Notamacropus eugenii: one gene and its partners. The protein of the gene in region 2 interacts with the protein of the main gene of each other region in a pairwise test. Links are inferred from orthologs where the notes say so. Each region holds a gene or a part of one and is shown on either strand. Other genes may lie near its edges. The genes, in order: VAPB, USP20 and BEND7.

What was found.
Region 1: the proteins of USP20 (region 2) and VAPB interact in binary tests that used the Homo sapiens proteins (3 or more experiments, as listed by UniProt). The two-hybrid records come from large-scale screens. The link is inferred for Notamacropus eugenii from reciprocal best matches to the Homo sapiens genes USP20 and VAPB.
Region 3: the proteins of USP20 (region 2) and BEND7 interact in binary tests that used the Homo sapiens proteins (3 or more experiments, as listed by UniProt). The two-hybrid records come from large-scale screens. The link is inferred for Notamacropus eugenii from reciprocal best matches to the Homo sapiens genes USP20 and BEND7.

Annotation. Positions count from the first base shown.
Region 1 is NC_092872.1:506,916,712-506,924,071, forward strand, and holds the start of VAPB (vesicle-associated membrane protein-associated protein B/C), read right to left. Parts: upstream 3,012-7,360; 5' UTR 2,487-3,011; coding exon 2,429-2,486; intron 1,963-2,428; exon of another isoform or gene 1-1,962. UniProt on the Homo sapiens protein: Endoplasmic reticulum (ER)-anchored protein that mediates the formation of contact sites between the ER and endosomes via interaction with FFAT motif-containing proteins such as STARD3 or WDR44.
Region 2 is NC_092872.1:481,408,295-481,416,380, forward strand, and holds the start of USP20 (ubiquitin carboxyl-terminal hydrolase 20), read left to right. Parts: upstream 1-4,998; 5' UTR 4,999-5,131; intron 5,132-7,406; exon of another isoform or gene 7,407-7,428; intron 7,429-8,086. Other genes in the region: C1H9orf78 (splicing factor C9orf78 homolog), read right to left, coding at 396-475.
Region 3 is NC_092874.1:168,216,091-168,223,894, reverse strand, and holds the start of BEND7 (BEN domain-containing protein 7), read right to left. Parts: upstream 3,039-7,804; 5' UTR 2,489-3,038; coding exon 2,428-2,488; intron 1-2,427.

The DNA of each region.
Region 1 (7,360 bases), about 26 Mb from region 2:
AATGAATTTGATCTCTGCAGAGCAAGGACTGCTGATGACTCTCTAGCTAATTTTGTGGTTAAGTTCAGTTTATAATTTAAGCATTACAAAGATATTTTTAAATGCCTTCTGTGTTCCTATCTTAGCTCCATAGGCATTTGTCCTTCATATGCTACTACTCACTTGACACATATGCTGAAGTTGCTTTGAGTGATGTGATTTCTGGAATTCTGTTTCGCCAGCAGTGAAAGCACTAAAAAAATGGTTTTCTTTCTCCTCTTTTCTAGAAAGCCCATTTCTTGCTTTCCCTAAGGGTTTCCACATAAAGATGAATCACCTGACGAGGAAGATGGAACACTGAGCACAGACTATTTGGGATATTTTCATAAGATAATTTAGAGTTGGAAAGGACCTGAAAGGTCATCTAGTTCAGTTTCTTCATTTTACAGATAAAGAAACTGAAGCCAAAAGAGAGGTTCAGTGGGATGCCCAAAGTTCAGAATTTAAATTCAAGGTCCTTTGACCCCAGATTCAGTGTTCTTTACATTATACCATAGTGACTCTCAAAATTTCCTCTTCTCTTAGTAGAGTGCCATAAGTGATAATTAACAAAAAGTCATTTCTTCAGTGGCATTCATGGCACCCAATTCAACCTCAGTTTGCAAAAATTCACTCAGTTACTACTACTAATTTGCATCCACCACTTTACACACTGGCCCTCTTCTTTACAGACATAGTTTGATACTAAAAAGATAATCTATCAACATGTTGACTCAAAAGCATAGAAAAGGTTTAAAGAGAATAGCAAGCAGATAAACAGACTTCTAAAATGACATTAGCTGTCCTCTAGGGACATGATGATGGCCTGGCAACAATTTTCTAGTGGCCTAGAATAGAATTCTTCAGGCTTTCCATTAGTTATAGGTGTCTCCTTTCTCTACTAGTGGGGGCTTAGGTAAATGAAGTTGGGACGTGTTAGGGAAGCAGTAATAACTTAGGAATGATTTTGAGAGATTACAGCAACATAGTTTTAATTAGAGGCTAGCCAAACCTACGTTGACAAAGGGCAGTTTATCCAGGTATAAAAATAAAGTGCAACTATTCGTGTCAGCCCTTATTATTTCACACACCTGGGTGATGGCCCTTAGGAACAACTCTAAATGGAAATCATTTCCACCAACATTTGCTAAAAATAAATACATAAATAAAGTCATTACAGTAGATTACCCTGTTTTAGTAATGTAGCAACTAGCCTACATGCTTAGAGTGCAGTTACAAAGTTGCAACGTCCCATAGGACAGCATTAAAACACCTTCTCTTCTGTCAACTTCAACTATTTGAACTTAATTTTAAATAGCAAACGTTAAGTCCCTGCACATTCAGGAGCCAATGTCTCTGTTTTATGAAGCAAAATGGCAAGAGTTTTAGCATGTTTTCTAGCAATCCCTCAAGAAGGGGAAGCATAAACAAAATAACAGGTAAATGTAAAGCACTGACAAACCCTGGGCTAAAGGCCCTAGGTTTCCTTGCAAATAACAAATTAGAACCAGTTGCACACGTTGCATTTGGTATCCCCTCTTCGAAGCTCCCAGCAGCCCTGACAATTTTAATAAGAGCAAAGAGAGCAGACACCAACCCCAAAAGAAGATATTATTTACTTAGGCTGCCACCGAGAAAGCTTACACACTACCCATTCGTAGGAAGGCTACCCAAAGTATGCACAAACCAACCCGGGCAGTTTCTCTAGGTAGAAAACTGGGCGCGGGGAGGAGGGGAGGAGATGAAGAAATAGAATCCTGTAAAGTCAAGTCATTGGAAAGAGAAACGTTTCTGCAAAGGAGAAATTTCCATTTTTCTTTCTGGGGCACAACATCAGAAAGTCCAGAACCTGGGGCGCGGGGGAAGAGGGTCTGGAAAATCCCCAGCGCCCGGTCCCGCACAACCCCGAGGCCCAGAAGCTCAGCCCTTCCCCCACCCCCAGCCCAGCTCCCGGCACCCACCCAGTCCTCCCGGCGCTGGCAGGCAAACGCCCAGCGGGCAGCCCCGGCCCGAACCGGAGCCTTCCCTTCTCCAGGCTATCCGTCTCCTCTTTGGCAGTGTGGGGTGTGGGAAGAGGAGGAGCTGGGCTCTGCAAAGGAGCAAGGCAAGTGGGGCCCGGTCCCGAAATGTCCAGGATTCAGACCCGGTAAATACAATAAACAGGTGGACGCCCCTTCGAAACGCGTTTTCCTGGGTGGGGGAGGGGAATCTGAAGCTAAATCTAAGGGGGGAGGGGGGGAGAAGGGGACCTCCAAGCGGCCAAGACGCACACACAGAGCCCCCGAGAAATAAACCTGAAGGACATTTTCTTCGCGCCTGCCTCTCCCGGGCCCCCGGAAAATGGCTGCCAGTGGTGCCTCGGCCAGGGCCCGCAAACGCCCCGGCCGGGCCCGCGTCCCCGCGCTCTTACCTTTGAATTTGAGCTCGTGCTGCGGCTCGAGGCTCAGGACCTGCTCCACTTTCGCCATATTCCTCGGATTGGGGGAGGGGCGGGGGCGGGAGAGGGGGTGGAGGCGGCCGCTTCCCGCTGCACCAGGGTCGGTGACCCAGGAGGTTAAAATAAAGAGGGCATGGAATAACAGACGGAAAACACGCTCAAGGAGCACCGGCGGAAGGCGCAGAGGGGTCTCGGCGACCTGGCGGAGGGCGGGCGGCGGCGAGATGCCCGGGGAGCCCAGCCGCGGCCCGGCACCCTCACACACTCACTCGCACACGCACGCACACGCACGCACGCACACGCAGACCCACAGCCAGACCCGGGGAGAGAGGGAGCAGGCGGCGGAGGCGAGGGAGCGGGGGTAGCGGCGGCGGCGGCGGCGGCGGCGGGAGGCGCCTGCGATGATGCAGCACCCGGAGGGCCGGACAGGCCGGAGCTGACGTAGCGAGCGCTGCGAAAGCCTGGTCCTCCTTCCCGGCCACCTGGGCGAGTGCGCGCGTGCTGGATCCGCCTGGGGCGGAGAGGGGAGAGCTGGCGCGCGGAGGAGAGGAGGGCAGGGCCGCGCGCCCCGAGGGAGGGCGTGGCGCCAGGGGCGGGGGCGCCGGGGCTGGGCCTCCGGGAGGAGGGGGCGTGGGGAGCCCCCGAAGGGGCCGGGGCTGGGGCGGCACGAGCGCGCCGCCGCCCCGCCGTGGTGCTGCCCTCGTTCTGCTGGAGACCGCGGCTCTCGTTCTTTCTGGGGTGTCAGCGGCCGGCTTTGACCGTTCTTTCCACCACCACCGGATAGTTACCTTTGCCCAGAGGTCACCTGGAAGGATGGTGCCCGGGGCCTTGGCGGAACCGTGGGCATCGGGAGCAGCAGTGTTCAAATGAATATCAGTTTTACTTCTGAAACAAGCGAAGGAACTTGGGCAACCCAGATGCAAGTGCATTATTCTGATAATACATAATGCTTGTACATAACCTTGCAACAGTTTCTACCACCGGTTACTATCGTTAGATTCACTAATCTGTTAGGTGGACCAGGCTCAGGGTAATTACCCCCACTTTAAAGATGAGGAAACTGAGGCCAAGAGAAATCAATTGATTTGTCCGTCGTTGTGCTGCAGCTAGGTGACGACGTGGATAGGGTCAGGAGGACCCGAATTCAGATCCGACCTTGGGCAAATCACTTCACCTCATTTGCCTCTGTTTCCTCATCTGTAAAAGGAGTTGGGGAAGGAAATGGCAAACCACTCTGGTGGGTGGGATTGGGAGGAGTTGGACACGACTTAGTAACATACTATTAGTAAAAAGGGACCTTTAACACAGATTTTCTACCCTTGGGTTCAATGATCTGTGTTAGACCCTACTGCCGTTCCTATATATTAAATAACAGGTGCTCTACAATCCTCTGAAAGCCTCTGAAGGTATCCTCAGACTATTCTATAAAATATAATTAATGTGAAAGTCTTACATCAACCAGGAAAGGGAAGGATTATGAAATACCTTCTTCTACCTTCTTCTGTGGAAGTTCTCTGAAAATAAATATTTTCCCTGTTAATCTTTTAGATCAATTCCTTAATATAATAATTTGTCAGTGCTGTCCCAGTATTTTATCTCTAGACAATTAGGAGCCGTAAAATCTGGTTCTGATTTTTATTTTTGTGTCTAAGCAGATCTAGGGCTTTTCACTGGCAGGAGTGTTTTAACATCTGACCATAAAACACGATGAATCAACCTATTAAAGCTTGCAACAAGGCAGAAGATTGTGTAGAAACATTAAGGAAGTAGGCTACAGTATATATCTGCATTATTTATAATGTATCCCACCTCTTCAGCTGTTTCTGTCCATCTCAAACTTCTCTGTTCATCTTTAGAAGGCCTCTTTCTGATCCCTGGGTGGTTCAGACTAACCGTGATCCTGTTTAATGTTGTGCATTCAGTGACTTAGAAAGATTCTTCTTTCTCATTTCGCTACATAATTTAAATCATTTTGCTTTTCTTCATTTGACTTTTTTTTTTAAATGAAGAATGACAACTTTGGTTTGTCTCTATTTAAAAGCTGCAATATGAAAAAAAAATTAGCATGTTAATTATGAGCCACATGTTAAATGACCCTCAGCTCTTAGGAGATATACAGGGGTTAGCATTATATATGCAAATACAAATCAGCTCACATATAGCAGTCATGAATCTTGTTACATCAGTAAATAATTAAGCATGTCAAACAGCAGGCTTAGATGTCTGAAATCAACTTTGTCCAGGAAGTGATTTGTATTTAACCATCACTTTCAGATGCTATTTTTTTTCTACTTCTTCAAATGTTCTTCCACATTTGCCAGATCACTTTAGCCTCTGTATCAGTTTATTCAATTTCAAAATACTGAAGAGGCAAGTTAAGATTTTTCTATTTAAACTCAGTCACTTAGAACAACAGGTTGTACTTTTTAAAAAAATGAATCTGATTTCTATAAACTTCGTATTTAAAACTTTCTTCCCAGAAATTCGTAAATTTGGCAATTATACTCTATCCCACTTGTAAAAATTGTTCTTTTGCACTTAAAAAGAAATCAAGGGTAACTGAAAAAGAATCCCCAACATCTTAACTGTCAAATGTGGAATTATTGCTTTTGTAATAACATATTAAAGGAAAAAACAAATCTAGATATTTTATAATTTAAATGGCTTGTATAATAAAATCTGTCAAATTTGCATTGCAATCACACGGGTTAAAAATGAGTTCTTATTGTTGTTTTCATAATTCTTATTCTCATTCTTTCATACATTAATAGTATTGATGTTAGCTGAAGATGGGAATGCTGATGTCAGTGTTAGCACTATGAAAAGAATCTAGGTATTTGACCTTAAATGTAAAGTTCAGCATTTCATTTTTAAAAAATAGCTGTTTCCGGAAAGGTGAATAGAATCTTTGTAAAACCTTTGAAGGCTGTTCCCATATCATTTAACAAATAAGTTTATTTAACAAATAAGTTTATTTAACAAATTTCTGGATCTATATTATTTATGTATTGAAGACTTACCAAAGAACTTTTTAAAAAATCAGTTTGGTTGTTTCACATTATTTACAATAAATACAGTACTTTCATTTTTATAATCTTTACATGCCAATCTAGTACTGTGGGAAAATGCTAAACCTTAAGACAAAAAAGACCCGAGTTCCAATTATGCAACAGACATTTGCTGTGTGACCATGGGAGAGTTGCAACTTGTTTCCCTATCTGTTAAATGGGCATAACAGGACCTGCCTACTTCACGGGGTTGTTGTTGTTCAGCCATGGCTGATTCTTCATGACCCCAGAGACCATTGCCACACCACACCCTTCTATCCTCCACAAGGTCTCAAGTCTGTTGAAGTTCATGTTTGTTATTCCCATACTATGTATCTCATTCTCTGTTGTCACCTTTTCCTTTTGCCTTCAATCTTTCCCAACATCAGGGTCTTTTCCAAGGAGTCCTGTCTTCTCATTATGTGGCAGAAGTATTTAAGCTTCAGCTTCATTATTGACTGACATTCCAGTAAATAGCCTGAATCAAATTCTTAAGTATTTGATCTCTTTGCTGTCCAAGTGACTCTCAAATCTTCTTCAGCCTTACAGGTGTTCAGTGAGAGTCAAATGAATATATGCAAATATGTGCAAAATATCTTGCAAACCTTAAAAGCAGCATAATAAATTTCAACTATTAACTATTAAAGGTGTTTTCTGAATTCTAGTACTGTGAAACTGCTAGAAAATACTGAGAAGTTTTAGGCAGCACTGTTTAAGATGAAAATCTAAATTCTTGGGCTCTTGATTAAAACAATGGGTCTATTAACACCCTAATTCATTCTGACCAGAGTCAGATGTAAATTTTTTTGCTACAATCTGTGTCAAGAGCCCTCCAGGATATGTACTTTCTTTTGTCTTCCTTTTAAAGAAATAGTTTAATGCTTATAATAAAAGATCTAAGAAAACTGATGCTTGGTTTCTCAAAACAATATCGACCTTTTCAGTAGGGCAGCATATTTTTAAGCTGGTATTGATTGGACTCAAAATACCCACAAGCTTTAAATTTAAGCCTTAAATGTTAGTTATCTCAATCACTACCTCACTAGAAGTCTGGTGCTGAATTTCAAATGAAAGTTACCAATCAATTTGGAAATTATCTGAAATCTGAGAAACATGTTCTAGGCACTGCCTGCCCTGTCTAAGCCTGCAGGTAGGTACTGTCAAGCACATTACAGCAGTAAAGGATCCTGATTCTAAAAAGCTAAGAGAAGATGAAAACATGTTACTTTTCACAGCATGTACACAGTAACACTATTCACATATACACTGCAAATGGAACACTAGCATCTCTGATAAACTTCTAAGTTTGAAGTGAAATTAGTTTTGAACTTTTTATTTCATGACCCATTTAACCAATTCAACTCTACCCTCAAAAGAAAGGGCTAATCTTGGCCTTGGCAATTCTGGCCCCTGTCTTGAATCACAAGGGATGAGGAAGATTAGGACCATCCAGAAGGATAACCTAGAAAGTAAAGACAGCTGGTTCTTGTTGCCACTTGCCTGTGTGACAACTGTCAGTTCTGTAGCTAGTTTCCCAACTCTGTCTGGGAACTGTTTTAGATATGCTATTTGAGAAATCATGATTTGGAGGAAATATGTGCTCCTTAGATCAAACCACAAAGAAAAACCATTCTAGAATGCAAGTCTTCATGTTTATAAACACATTTTATTAGTAAAATGTTTACATCCATTCACAATACAACATAAACCTGCAGTGATTTAACATGTCATTCATTACATTATAAAAGTCTGTAGAATGACTCAGCTGAAACAATGTAGTTTAAGATATACCAAATCAATCTTTATTCGCAAACTACCTATGGGATGAGTATAAACCGAAAAATCTTACAGCAATCAA
Region 2 (8,086 bases):
ACGAATGAATTGTCATTGGAAGAGAACACACGAAATATACATTCAACAGTTGCCAGTTAAGACAACAGCATTCCAACAAAGGCAAAACCAGTGCCTGTCCTCCGAGAGCTCCCATTCTGCTACGGGGGCAGGAGGGCAGCATCTTGGTCGCGGGGAACCCCCGCAGCTCTCGCATCGTTTTGGGGGTGCTCGCTCCCCCCGGGGGGCGGAGAAGATAAAAGCCGGGCAGTACGAGATCAATCCCGCAGGCTCGGGGTTAGGGTCAAGGCCGGCTGCCCTCCCGTTCGGACCTCGTCCTCCCACACCAGGGGCTCGGCCGATCCCGGAGGGATGTCATTGGGTCGGGGCTTCTCCGCACAGCAGTCCAGCCGCCCCCTGCCCCGCTCCCCACTCACCGGACCTCCTCACTGTCTTGCTCGTCTGACTCCGACTCCGAGTCGACGCGGCGCTTGCGGAAGGCCTTGCCGGCCCGCATGGTGCCCCGAGCCCGGGTTTCCACCAGGGACTGCCGCGGGGTGCCCCCGATGGGGCGCCTTGGCCCCGGAGCTGCGCAGCTGCTCAGGGCTGCTTCCGGCGCAGGCCAGTGCGGTCAGCGCTGCGTGCGGCCGCGGCGGCGGCGGGCCCGCCTCCGGCTCCAAGGGCCCGCGCGGGGCGCTGCCCATAGGGCCGCGTGCTCGGAGCCCGCCCCGCCCCGGCCGGCCCCGCCCCTCCCCCGTGCCGCCGCCGCCGCCCGAGCCGCGGGGATGGGGAGCGGGCAGCCGTGCCGGCGGCCACTCGGGAGCCCAGCCCGCCGAGGTGAGTGTGGGCGCGCGGGGCGAGGGCCGGCCGTTATCCTTCCGAGCCGCGGGGGCGGGGAGGGAGGCGGCGATCTTCTGCGGGGGACGCTCCCCCCGCCTCCCTCCCCTTAATTCCTCTCCCCTCTCATGGCACTCCCCTTTCCTCCTCTCTCATTGCACTCTCCTCTCTTCCCCCTCCCCCGCTTTCTTTTTCCTCCCTTCCCCTTTCATCCTCCTCTCCTCTCCCCTCCCAAAGCCCAAAGCTTGAGCGGTGGTCGAAGTTGTGCCAGCATTCCAGCTCAGCCCCTCGAAGGTGCCTTCCAGCGAGACAGGAGTTCGGCAGGTACACCAGGTGTACCAGTGTCTCTTCTGAATTTCACTAATTATCTAATTCAGACTGTAGAAAGTTGGCCTTTTAAAAAATGAATGAGTTAGCCTAAAATAATACTTTTAAAAGTAGATTGTATTTGGGGACTTAAGAAACATTGTCACAGCCCTAAGGTGAATTTTTTAAAGGAAAACGTTTACAACTTTCCCTCCTCTTGTTATTTTTTGAAAACTAAACACCACTAACGGCCGCATCAGGCCCCAGGCCTCTGTCATCCCTAGCCAGTCCAGAAGGGAGCCTCCTATATTTTTAGTTGACATTACTGTGGTAGCCTAATGATCACTGGATTCTGGAGGGAGAAGATTCTGTACTTGATTTTAATATTTACTTGCAAGTGACATTAGCTAAGTTCCTTATTGATTCTATAATTTGCTTTGTTGTAGGTAAATGAAAGAGAATAAAACTTCCTCTCTTACACAGGTTCTGTGACGATTAAGTTCACCTTTTAAAAATGTGTTTCCAGAAGTCTAAGGCTTTATGTTAGTATATAGTAATTGTTTCCTTTTTTTTAACCATAGGAGAGGTCATTTCTTTTAGTAGTTCAGATCTTCCACTAGCAAGTTATCCCAATTTTAATGGAGTCACAGTCCTCATTTACCCTCCCTAGATATGCTTTTCAGTTGCTTATAATGTATACACCAATGCTGATTGGTTTTTTGTCATACCTTTGAACTGCCAGTGTTGGCTGGTGTCTGGGAAATGGATTGGTTTTTTCCTTTGGAAGGGTAAAGCTTGACCTGCCCTGGGCGTATTACAGTATATCATACCAAGCCTGAAAGGTAGATGGCACCAGGTAGTTCCACGTAGGTGTCTTTAAATACAACTGTATTTGTAGGCATCAAGGACTGGAAATCTTGTCTCACAACCATTGTTTTGGTCATTGCTTAGCTAAGTACCCCTCCAAAGATTCTGAACTTATACTCTGGCTGTGACCTAGGCCCCTGTGCACTAACTATACCCTTCTAGGAAGAATTGAGTGGATAACCTGCATCATAAGCTATGACTGAATGAAAGATTGGCACCTTTGGTTTAGTTAGCACAAATTAGAAGACCTGGGTTTGAATTCTGACTGCCACTTTTTTGCTTTGTGATCTTAAATCACTTAAAGCTGATGTTTCTGTTTCCTCATCTGTAAAATGGGACTGATAACTGTATTTATTACCTACCTCACAGGGATTTTGTGAGAATTGAATAAGGCCATGGCTGTAGACAATGGATATAAAAGCATTTTATAAACCACCAAGTGTTACTTTAATTTCAACTTTTGTTACTATGAATTTAGATTTAATAAATGTTTTTTAGATTGAGTGGTGAGAATATTTTGATCTTTTTGTTTTGTTTTAGGAGGAATGTTTAGTTCTGGTTTGAACTGGTTTGCTAGCTATTTGCTTAAAAAAAAACCTTTAGTTTAGGTTTGAGATCAGTAAAATTAATATTTGTGTTAGGCAATTAGTATTTGTGGTTCAGCAAATTGGTACCATTTGTTCTAATTCCTAGTTTGATTGGTGGTGCAGTGGAAAGATCACCAGATCTGGGTTCTGCCACTAACTTTCAGTGTGACTGTGGGCATGCCACTGTCCTACTCTAGCCCTCAGTTTTCCCAAGATGAACAGGTTAGACTAGATTATGTATCATCATCAGCTTTCCAGCTCTAAAAAACCACACATCTAAGTCCCCGTTTAAAAGTCACTTAATTCACACTTCTCTATAGAAGAGGTATCTGACACCACACACAGGCAGCATGTGTGCAGCCCCCAACATTCCCCAAAACATTGGAACAAGATGAAAATGTAATTGGAAAATATTTAATAAGACAATGAGATGTGGTTTCCTAAGTCAGTATATGGCCTCCAACGATCCTGATATTTGGTTTAATGATCTGGTTTCTGTTTGAGTTTGACACCACTGCTCTAGTATATGTATGATAATTAAGCTAGCATTGATATAGCTCTTTAAAGTTTGCAAAGTACTTTACATATATTTTACTTTATCCTCACAACAGCCTTGGGAAGTAGCTGCCATTATTATCCCCATTTTATAAATGAGGAAACTTGAGGCAGATAGGTTAAGTGACTTGCCCTGGGTCAAACAGCCAGAAAATGGCCAAAATAGAACTCCAGTCCTCCTGATTTCAGTCTAGAGCTTTATCCCCTGCACCACTTAGTTGTCTAGGAATGCCTCCTGTGTGTGTTGTTTTTTAACCAGGCCTTGTTGATTTCTCCTACCCCTATCCAGTCCTCCACAATGTATGAAAACCCTGTCTTATCAAATCACTGTTTCTTGTGCAGGACAGTAATGTCAGGTGCTATAAGGTTTTATAAGTACTAGTTATGGTCCCTACTCTCAAGAAGCTTACATTTAGTTGAGGAGTCTAGATCATTACAAGTGAAATCATTCAATTAACTAGTATTTATTGAGTGCCAACTGTGTGCTAATCATAATCACTGAAGATGGAACAAGGACTGATCTGTACCTCCAATGACCTTACATGTTAGGGATCTAAGGGGTAGAAATAACAGCTACAATATTAACAGACGTTTGTTTATTATACTGCTTTACGAAGCACTTTCATTACAATAACTCATAACTAATGCAAATTAAAACATCCCCTGCCTTTCTTAGATTGTTGTTTGTCTCTTTTTGTTCCAGGCATCTTTGACAGTGCCTTGAAGCAATAGATATTTGATAAGTGTTTGCTGAATGGTGTGTAAAAATATAAATATTCATGTTGAGTGTAACAGTAAAAATATTTAAATACTAGTTCAAAACAACACAGGATGCCATAAGGTCGTAACTGATTGTGCAGCCAATTATATAGCCAATAAATGCCACTGGGAGCCAGCCATCACTGAGAACTGGGCTGGGCTGTCCTTGAAGGAGGCTTGGAGGAGATGGGGCTAGAGCCAGGTCTGGAAGCTTAGGCAAGAAAGGAGTCTTGCTTGCTTTTTCTCTTGTGGTCCTGTGCGACTACCCCAGCTCCCCCTGGATTTCTAAGGCTTATGTGCCCCGTCAACACCTCCACCCTCTCCCCGCAAAAAAGGCTATATATACCGCCTAATAGAATGCAAGTTCCTTAAGGACACAGACTGTGTCTTTTGGGGTAGAGGGGCAGTCTTTGTCTCCCACACGACTCGGAGGTAATGGGTGCAAGTTTCCTCCTACAGAACACTGAGTTATTGACAGCTGACACTGGTTTGCTCTCAAGGAGATGGCAGTCCATAGGAGAAAGGACAGGACAGATGTTTGGTGATAAAGGCGATGGTGCTTTTTCTTTTTTAAAAAAAGGTTTTACTGATTCTCTTTCAAAAAACAAAAGTCACTGTCACTTTACAGTGATCCCACCCACCCACCGCACAGTCTTCTCTAACAAGTAAAACCTGCGTGCAAAACACATCTTTCCGCCCCCCACCCCCCACCCCGCTCCCCCCACGTTGGCCGGGTCTAAAGAATTCTTGGTACGGCTCCTGTAGGCCCCCATCTCCGCAGGCAGGCTGAGCACGGTCCCCTTCCCAGGAGGCTATAACCGGGGCACTGGGGGAGAGGGCCTCCCCAGTGAGCCCCAGGAGACCCCGCCTCCTGGGCTCCGAGCTGGGACGCCTGCGGGCCCCGCCTCCACCTGGGCCTAGGAGCGGCTTGGCTTCCCCAGCCCACGCCCCGGGCTCGTTCGCTCGTGGCCTCTCTCTCCGGGTGGGAGGCCCTTCCCCGGCGCCCCCTGCCCCTGCTCGGTGCGCGGACCAGCCCGGCGCGGCCCCCTCCTGCCCCAGCCCTCCTCTCTACCTGTCCCCCCGCCCCCTTCCCTCCCTCTCTGCCCGCGAGTCCGCTCCCCCACCCCGGGCGTAGTCCCGGACCCCCGGCCTCGGCAGGAAGGCGGGAGGAGACCCCAGGCCCTGGGGTGCCGAAGCCGCAGCCCGAGCCCGAGAGAGGAGAGGCGGAGACCGAGGAGGGCGAGGACCCGAGGAGGGGGCCGGTGAGCGGTCAGGGGCCCGGTTCTGCCGTTGGGGAGCCTGGGGGCCTGGCCCCGGAGTTTAGCCCACCCGAGCTTAAGGAATTGACTGGAGATGGGCGGGGGAAGGTTCGAGGGAGAGGGGGAATGAAAGGATGGGGGAGGGAGAACCAGACCCACCAACTAAGAGGGGAGAGTTGGGTAGAGGGCGAAGGTTAAGAGAGGGAAAGTGGGAGGACTCGGGGAGAGTTAAAGGGGGATGGGACAGGGCTAAGAGAGAAAAGGGAGAACGGGGGAGGGTGGCGAAGGTGAGGCCAGCTTAGAGAGGTCCGGGAGTGAGACTAGGGGAGGAGCAGGAGAGGGTTCAAGGAAAGGGGGCTTGTGGATAGATCGAGGCCGGTCAGGGACCTCTCCCCCGCCTCCACCAGATAAGGAGGAGAAGTTTGGTCAGTAAAACCTCGGAGGAAATTTTGAGGTGGGGGGTGATGAAGGTTAATAGGAACCAGCATCTTTTGAAGACAGAATTAAGGGAATAAAAGGGAGTCAAACAAGGCATGGTGGGGGGAAGCGAGGGGGAATGGTTTAGAAGGAAGCCTGCAGTTGTGTTGGAAAGGGGATGGAGTGCATTGGTAACTCAGAAGAATTAGAAGATGAGGACTGAAAGCAGAGGGGTGACAGTGGTCGACAAATGTGTGGTGTATGCAAAAACCAGGCAAGAAAACCGAAGGAACTGGTGACTCTAGGCAGAATTAGTTAGGTCAGTTGCCTGGGATGAGAAGCGTTTCCCAAGGGGCTGCTCCGAGCCTCTGTTTAGTTTTTGCTGTGCAGCGACTCCTCTCATTTCAGTGAGCACCAATGGGGCGGGCCCTTGGTTAGTTAAACCTCCTTGCACCCACTTTGCTGCTTTTTTTCTTCATGAGGAGGGAGGTAATTCTGGGATTACAAAGACTGTCATCACAACCACATCACACCACCTGTGTGGACAAGGATGATGCAGCAAAAGGTCCTTGAGAAAATGATGAGTAACCCTGAGAAGCAGCCTGGGCAACAGGCTGCCTGGGCTCTAGTTCCGATGTTGGAATTTGACTCTTGCTCCTAGACGTGCATCCTCCAGACCCTGCTTTTATCAGGGAGTCAAGATGACAGTTGCATTTGATCTCTTCTAAAGAATCATTTATCTTCACCTGCAGCCTCTCTTTTGAAATCTTAATTGTGTAACCTGGCAGCCTCCAAAGGAAGGCTGATTTCATTCTGAAAGCTCAGTGGAAAGCTTTGTACCTTAGTGTATCTGCATCATTCTCTCTCCCTCCCTCTCTCTCTCCCTCTCTCACTCACACCCACACACCCACACATCCACCCCACACACACACTTGCTCTCATTCCCTCTCCCCCATAAGTTTTTTGGTTTTTTGTTTGTCAACTTAGAGGGGGAAAGTGCCGTGTGAATTAGCCAGGAGAGAGAATGCATTTGTGTGTAGAGTAATAATTTAGTTTTTGTATGAATATGAAAAGTGATAGATTACTTATGCTGTAGCAAGATTTGGGGAAAGGCAGGATATCTTTTTTAATTTAAGTTTTAGCAGTGGCTGCTGGAGAAAGAGGGAAGACATAGGAGCTCTGCTTTTTTATCAATTGTAATTTCAACAGGTCCTGAACGAATACCTACTTTGTACATATTCTTTACCAGGCATTCCATTTCTCTGACATTTTTTCAAAGTGTTTCATCATATTGATCATTGACAAACATGCTCCCACTTCTAAGATAAAAATAAAGAATCCTGAACATTTTAAGTTCCTGATAAAAGCTCAATAAGGATTAGTGCAAAGAAGTTGTCAGTTCTCTGGGAAAAGTTGTCCACTGATAATTGGCAGTCTTTGCCTTGTGCTACATTTTTAGGGTTTGCTCATCATTCCTATTAAAGGAGGATTATTTACTTGGCTTCAGAAGCAATTAACTTCAAGCTTAGTTAGTGCTTACTGCAGCCTTGCTTTTCTTTATCTATTTATAGGCAATTCTTTTTGGGTTCCATAGGTCTGGATGTTAGGCCTTGGGGAATCTGGCTCTAATTTCTGCCTTAGTATTGGGTCTTTGCAGGGTCTGTGGTAGAATTCTACATGTGATGTGTCAAGAGAAGAAAGTGTATCATTCATGGGTGAAAAAGGTCTTTGATTGTGAAGTAGTACTCCTCAGCTCAAGGAATCATTTTTTAGCAGGTCTGAACCTGATGAGAGTTCAAGAGCTTTGGGGACATGTGCTTCTAGTGTTTTCCTTTTTCTGTGGGACCTGGACAAAAGGGAAACTAATAGAAGCTATGCTTAAGGTAATTTAATTTTTTTTAACAGACACATTGTAATTTTAATAAATGATTGTTTTAGGAGATGATACAAATTTATCATTTTGTGATGACTGTTTTGTTACAGTGAAAGAAAACCTTGGTAAAAGCCTATGGGAATAAAAGTCCCTTTGGTAGTCAGGAGAAAGAACATACATTTGAATCTACTTTGATTATGAGTATTCCTTGATCTAAAGAAAGACTTGGCTTTTTCCATATAGTATAACTAGGTAAGAGACACTGAATTTCTTCTTTCATACACAGGACATGATATGTCTGGGATATATATAATGTAGAGCATTTTCTCAGAGAGTTAGGAAGTTGGTCTGGAAGCGCTCTTGATTTAAAGCAAAAATATAATCAAAAATTTTTTTTTGCTTTTTTTTTTTTTTTAATCTGACCTCTACTTCAGACTGCAGATTCTAAGTACAGTATAGCTAACCACAAACTTTGGTAATCCTGTGCAGGTCAATGTTTCCTTCCACACTAAATCAAAAGCATTCAGTCTCTTTTCAAAATAACTAGGGGAAGTTTCAATTCCTGATTTCTCGTCTAATTGAGAAAGCAACAACAAAAAAGAATTTATTAAGTTCATGCTAGGAATAAGCTCTCTTTAAGATCATGGCTCAACTACTTCTAATTCTAT
Region 3 (7,804 bases), on a different chromosome or scaffold from region 2:
TTTAAAAATCAGATTAACCACAGAATACAAACACTATAGCAGCACCCAAGAATTTTATCAGTATTTTTGAAACTGTACAAAATAAATATTCACAGATTTTTGAGAATAACTTTGCCTGATATATGTCAGGTTTCACTGACAAGTATGTCAGCATGAAAGTTCAAATGTTTTTTCTAAACCTCAGCAAGTAAATTCATAACCAATAGGGAAAATGTGCTGCATCCCAGGTCATAGAAGTCTTTTACATTGAACTATACAACTAAATTTGTATAGGACATATTAAGAGCATTCCCAATAGTTAGTGACAACACCCTTGATTTTAACAATTAATACTGAAAAATACTGGGAATTGAAAGTCTAAAAGGAAGCTCATATGAAAAATACTCATTTGTTGTTTTAAGTAGAGTGAAATTTGAATATGGAAGCCAGGGTCTCATCTTTCACATAAGGGTATCTTTTGCATACAGCTACTGCACTTTAATATGCAGTGGCTCATTTTCTGAAAATGCACCTGCATAGCAAAGAGTCAGACTCAGAATTTGTTATAAACTTCCTATGTCAGTCCAACTTAAAAATACAGAATTTCACTAGCCTCTCTGTAGAGGCTCATGCGGTTTTGATAAAGTTCCTACAAATTGGGATCACCTAACTATCTGCCTTAAAGGTAGATTTCTTTTTACATTCATGACTTATGGGTGCCCTTGGACATTACAGACCAACACCTACACAACTACTCTCATTTTCAAGATATGGTAATAAGTTATCTAAAGTTAGAAAAAACAGAAGTAACATATATTCTTGAATGAATAAAGCCCCCCAAAATGGCAGGTTATATATGAAAAAACTTTTAAAAGTTCAAGTAACTGAGCAATCAACTCAGTGAAGCAAAGTTACAAAGAATCAAAAAGCTAATATTCTGAATAGGTATAGTGACTGAAAACCCCTTTCACCAAATTCTATCCACTTGCTTAACTATTTAAATCAGTTTAATTGAGAAGAAAACATATAATCAAATGAATTTTCAAACAAACTAAAAGTAGGCTTTATTTGCTCCACACTAACATTTAGTTTAGCTGGGGTTTAATTAGGAAAAAAACCCTGTTATTTGCAAATAGCCCTCTACTTTTCATTAGTCTATATGATGACTTTTTAGAATTTTTAAAACAGTTGGTTTGCTCCCACCCCCAATAGTCCATAAAACATCGGAGGAAAAACAGACCGGTTCTAAGTTTTTGTGTTTGTTCAAATTTAAGGTTGTTTCAAAAAAGAGACTTAAGGAAAATAGGTGTTCTGAACCCTCAAAAGAGAAATGTGACATTACAATGTACTAATCACCTGCTTCGAATCTAACAAGTCACAAGTTGGTTAACAGATATATCTTACTTCTTTTGCCTTGGGCTTTAATTCTTCTCAGTCTTTTCTAAGCCAAATTAGAAAAAAATAAGATCCTAACAAGTAACTCATCCTCAACTGGACAACTACTACCCTCTCCCCTCTGAATAGCCTAAACCCAAGCAGTTGAGATATACACCTGTTAAATTATTGAGAAATTTGATGGGATTTTTAAAAATTGATTTTCACTAGATGCATAATTCTTTTTAAACACGTTTTCCTAAACCAATCACACAACCCAACAAGTTAGATAGCAACAATTTTTCCTTGTGCAATGGCATTGTTTTTCCTCCGAAATGAAAGAAGGAAAAATCACACCAAAACCTTTCATGTGGGGGGGAGGGACCGACAAGGGAGGTGGGGGGGAGGGGGGAAGAATTTGGTCTTAGGGACAAGAATCATTCGTCCAGACTTCTGTACACCTCTAAAATTGAAAAGCAAACACCCCACTTCCCAAACCTGGCCACAGTAGTTGAAAGCACAAGAAGGTTTTTTGCTCCCTAAGTGTCATTGTTTGCTAATTTCCTGATTCGCTTTTTGGGCTGTTTACGTTCAATAACATCCTGACTCCCCCCCTTAACCATACAACTTTATTTTGTGTACAGTGGTCTCATCGCCAAGCATCAACGTTGCCCCCACACACACCAAAACGCCCCCGCTGTCGAGCGGGTTCTTTTAAAAATAATAACAATAACCCTTTTTAAAGATACAGTTGCTGACTTGAAAATACATAATTGCATTGACAAATAACAGAGGATGAGGGAAATGACAAGGGAGAGGGCGAGAGGGGATAGGAGAGCGCTGGTGGCTGGGGGGATGTTTACACCCTGGTCAAGTCCCTTCTCCGAGTCTCTGGCACCCACCCGAGAGAAGCCCCCTAGCCGGTCCCCACCTCTCTCTCTCTCTCTCTCTCTCTCTCTCTCTCTCTCTCTCTCTCTCTCTCTCTCTCTCTCTCTCTCTCTCTCCTTCTCTATCTCCCTCTCTCTCCCCCCCCCCTCTGCCCGCCCCCCCGCCCCCACGTCCCTCTCTTCTTACCTTGGTTCACCAGTTTGAAGCTTTGGGATTTCCTGCTTCTTTTCCTCTCGGAGAACTCCATGGTGCTGGGGAGAAGGAAGGAGGAAGGGAATGTGGCAGCGGAGAGAGAGAGAAGGAGAGACAGAGAGAGGGAGGAACAGGGGGGAGGGAGAGGAGGAGGAGGAGGAGGTGGAGGAGGCGGCGGCGGAGGCTCTGGTCACCCGGCCGCAGCAGCAGCAGCCGCCGGGAGGACCCAGGTCCGTGTCTCGACAACAGTAAGAATAATGTAAAGGAACAAAATCGATCCGGCCCCCCGGGCGATTTCGGACCCGGGCGTGGGCGGGGCTGGAGGCTTCCCTCGGAGAAGTTGCCACTTTGCTCTCGCCCCCCAGCCCCGCACCCCGGGCCCCCGGCCCGGAGACAAGGCGAGGAAGCTGCCGAGCCCGGGCCCGCCGCCCTCCGCCACAACTTTCGGCTGGGGCCGGACTTGGCCCGGGGCTGGCTCGGGGCCGGCCCGGGAGCAGAGGGCTGGGAAAGGGGCGGGCAGGCGCCGGGCGCTTTTTCCTGCTCCTTCCCCGCGAGGCGGCGGCGGCGGCGCGAGGGCGGCGATGCGCGGCCAGGGAGGCGGCAGCAGGTCGGGTCGGGCCGGGAGGAGGTGGCGGCGGCGGAGCCGGGGGAGCCGGGTCAGAGGCGCTCGCCACCCCCCCACCCCCCCCCGCCGGGGCGGGCGGAGGGAAGGAGGGGAAGGAGCGGAGGAGGGAGCGCCCGCGCTGCCTGGGACCCCGGTGCCACCTGCTGGGGGGAGCCGGCCCTCGCACCGGCGCCCCGGGCCACCCCCCTCCCCGCCTCCGCCATCCCCCTGGGGGCCGAGCTGAGGGAGCCAGCCGAGCCCGCCGGCCGCTCCTCGGGCTCGGCCCCCGGCCCCACGCCATCCCGAGGAGGCGGAGGCCGCACGGGCAGACGGACCCACGGACCGACGGACGGACCGAGCAGCTTCCCGCGAGCCGCGGCCGCCGCGCGCTCGCGCTCTAAGCCCGCGCTCGCGCCCTCCCCGTCACCTCCCTGCCCCGCGCGCGTTGCCGCCGCCCGCCCAAGGCCCGGGGCTCGCTCGGGGCAGGGGGAGTCTTCCTCCCCCCGGCTTTGGAGAGCGCTGCTCAGCTCATACAACCTCCCCCCCTCCCTCGCCGCCGGCCTGGAAGCTCCATGGGGAGCCTCCCCCTCACGGCCAGGATCCTGCTGGTTCTTTCCTTTTCCTTAGAGACTCCAAGTCTTGGGGGGGTCCTCCCCTCTTGTCTGCTTCAGTCCTGGGAAGGCTGGTATGCCCCGCCACCCCCAAACCGCCTCCTACTCTCACATTCCTGAACCAGAGAGCCCTTATTTTAAGCAGCTGTTAGAGGTTATCTCCCCTGTCCACAAATGACTACATATGAAATGAACCAACGGTCTTGAAAAGGGTAGAGAGCATTGACACTGAGCCCCGAATACTGACTACAGACCTCTTGGTCTGGGTGGCCCCAGAATTTGGAGAACACATGTGGATTGAGGGTCGTCCTGAGAAAACTTGTCATCCCTCAGGTTCTGCATTAGCTGTCTCCGTTGCTGGTGAAGAACCAAATCCCTAAGGCAGATGCAAAAGACTGGCGTAATGATATCAAAATAAAGGGAATAAACAATAAGCATTTCATTAGACTTATTATGGGCATCTCTAAGGAGCACAGAGCACATCAAGGACACTGTTTGTTTCTTCTTCATAACATCCCCTGGGAGAGAGGGAAAAAATAATTGTATACCTCTTGGGATGTGCAGCACTAGAGAGAGAGCCACAATGGTATTAGTGGTTAAAATCATTGAAACTGGAGTCAAATTTCATTTCTGTCACTTAATCCCAATCCAATAAATACAATAAACATTTATTAAGTACCTACTATGTGCCAGGCATGCAGACACAATAAAAAAGACAATCCTTGCCTTCAGTGAGTTTACAACCTAAAGAAAAAAAGACCACACGAAAGGAGACAGGAAAGGGGAGAGGGTGGTTGGTGGGGAAAAGTCACAACCTCCTTGGACACAATTTTCTCTTCTGTCAAAGGTGCCTTCTAGATCTATGATGATTTTGTAAGAGGCATTTAGGTGGAGGAATAGTTGGGTTACAGAACAGGGTGTCCCAAAAGGCCGGCTCTCGGTCTTTTGGGACAGCAGGTATAACAAATCCCTAGTCGCCTTAAAGGCTAGTGAGGATGGGAGGGCATGGTGATGAATAGTAGCACCATATTTCACCATGGACCCCACCCAAGGAGACAATACTGTAGCGGGGAAGAGGTGTCAAACTCATACAGAAGCATATTTAAAAAGAGATCCCTACTGGTTGCATATTTATTTAGGAAACCCCGTTTGATGTTATGTTCTGTTGTATTTTTATTTTGTTTACTACTACCCAATTATGTTTTCATCTAGTTCTCCTCTAGATACTCGGGAATGTTGATGTGTTTGATATCTGCTGTACAATGATTGACAGTTGCCCATGTTTCATTCAGTTCCTTCCTTCCCTGCTTTAGTGGATTACCATAGCAGAAGAATTCCACAGCAGAAGAATTGCTAGTCCCGTAGCTGGTGGTACATCTACTGGTAATCACTGTCTCTGCACTTAAGTAGGCTGATTTTTGGCAAGCAGGCAACCTGTTGCCAGGACATGCTTGCTACCTTAGCAAGATTCTGCCATGTTTTGTGAATACTTAGGAAGTACAGCAGTGATCAATATCAGCCACTCTGGGTTAATAAATAACAATTCCCACCAAACTAATCTTAATTCTTTTTTTTTTTTTTTTGGTTTTATGAGGTAATCTGGGTTAAGTGACTTGCCCAAGGTCACACAGCTACTAAGTATCAAGTCTGAGGTCATATTTGAACTCAGTTCTTCATGACTCCAGCACTGGTGCTCTATCCACTTCACCACTTAGCTGCCCCTCCTTAGTTCATTTTTGACAGGACTATTAAATTTATACAGAAGAAGAATTCTGTAGGTATCATATACTCATATTTTGGTGAGGTGTTTAAATGAGAGAACCTCTCATAGTTGAGATAAATCTGAAGTTCTATACTTGGAATAAAAATTGCCTTTACAAGTACAGGAAGGGAGAGATATGACTAGATAATGCATATAAAAATGAGCTGGGCGTTTAGTGGACTTTCAGTTCAATATGAATTTACAGCACCCCCAAAAAAAGCTCATGGAATCTGAAATTGCATTAAGAAAAGATTAGTGTATAAAACAGAGGTTCTCAACTTGAAGTCTCTGAACTTGTCTTATTTTGTAACTGTATTTCAATATAATTGGTTTCTTTGTATTTTATGCTTTCAGAAACATTCTGAAAAAGGGTCCCTAGGCTTCACCAGACTGCCAACAGGACTATGATATAAAAAAGGTTGAAAACCTCTAGTCTAGAATGAGGGGAGATTATTATATCCTCCCCATCCTTCCTGTTTCAATTTAGAAAGTATTTATTAGGCACCTACGACGTAGCAGGTACTGCGGTGGGTGCTGAAAATATAAAAATAAAATATTGTACCTGCATTCAAAGTTTCTACATTACTAGGGGAAAGCAATATGTACACAGATAAATGAATACAAAATATATATAAAATAAGTTATTTGGGGAGGAGCACTACCTGGTTGAATTAGGAATGACCTCTTCTAGGAGGTTATACTTGAGCAAAACCTTGAGGGGAGCTGGATTCTAAGAAGAGCAGGTAGGTGGCAATAGAGCACTGAGCTTGAAATGTGGAAGACTCATCTTCATGAGTTCAAATCTAGCCTCAGAAACTTACCTGCTGTGTGACCCTGGGCAAGTCACTTAACCTTGTTTACGTCAGTTTCATCATCTGTAAAATGAGTTGGAGAAGGGAATGGCAAACTACTCCAGTAACTTTGCCAAGAAAATCCAAAGAGTTGGACAGGACTGAAACAACTAAACAACAAAAGATTCTAAGAGGAGAGGTATAGAGGAAGGTGCCTCTGGAGGCACAGAGACAGACTGACAGAGGTGGGAAAAGAATTGTCATTAAGATTTGGCATAATCTTCAGGTGTTCAAAGGGCTGTGGTGTAGAAGAGGTGCTCTCAATTTATGTTTTGCTCAAGAGGGCAGTTGAGTGATAGAAATTTCAAAGAGAAAAATTTAGGTTCACTAGGACAAAAGTCCTAACAATTATAGTTATCCAAAAATTGCATTGAACTACCTTTGAGTGTAGTGAATTCACCATTCCTGGAGGTCTTGTTTGTGAGTGTCATATCAGGTCTTCAACCCTTCATCTAAATCCGTACATTACTAAATCTATTCTCATCTTTCCTTTGCTTTCTTTCCTCTGCTCTCCCTATTTCCTCTCTGACCCATCCTAAATTGAAAGTCGCAAGTCTTAGTGTTCAACTTTGTCCTTTTAAAGGTTTTAAAAACCTCTGACCAAAACAAAGCTGAGAAACAGACAGACTAAAGGACATTTAGGAACTTTAATACCTGCGAATATAAAATGAGGTTTTATTACACTTAAACTAGGATGAAATCATTGAAGTTGTCATACCAAGATGCAAAACCCTAGGGAAGCTATTAACAAATTAACACTTCCAGTTCAAGTGGGAAGATGAATTCCACTTACCATAGAGAATAGTATATGTGTAGTTAAAAATAAAAGCCAAATATAATGGAATGGTTTGGACAATTCAGTTGAATTTCCCTTGAATCTTTTGACTGACATGAGACCCAGGACTGGAACATCGCTTAGGAAGGGAATACCTTATTCAAAAGCATTATTTGTGGACCATTATTATAAACAGGTGGACCACAGACTCTGGACCAGGTCAATATCCATGTCAAATCAACAAATAATTATTGAAAAACTACTTTGTGTAAAACCCTATACTTTTTAAAAATAATGTCAGTACTTTTGGTTTTGGCAAGAACTAATGATTTTAATCAAAAGAACTTTAAACTGAAAAATAAGGGGGAAGGAGAAAATATCGTATGTATATCCACCAAGATAAATATCATAGAGAATAAGTATGATGTAATAATAATAAATAACACCTGTTTATGTTTAACTCATGTTTATGTAGTGTTTTAAGATTTTCAAAGTGTCCAATATATTACTTCAATTAATGTTCACAACAACTCTGGTATGTATTTGTATCCTCACTTTACAGATGGGGAAGCTGAGTTTCAGATAAGTTAAATGATTTATCCAGGCTCAAATAACTACAAAGTATCTGAGATAATTTCTAAATCCAGGTATGTAGTGACACCAAGAAGTTTTTAGGAGGCAAAATCCAATGAAGTACCAATAATTAATTTAGTGGCCTCAAGTATCTATAAATAAATGTACAAAATATGGATAATAAACAGGATTAAC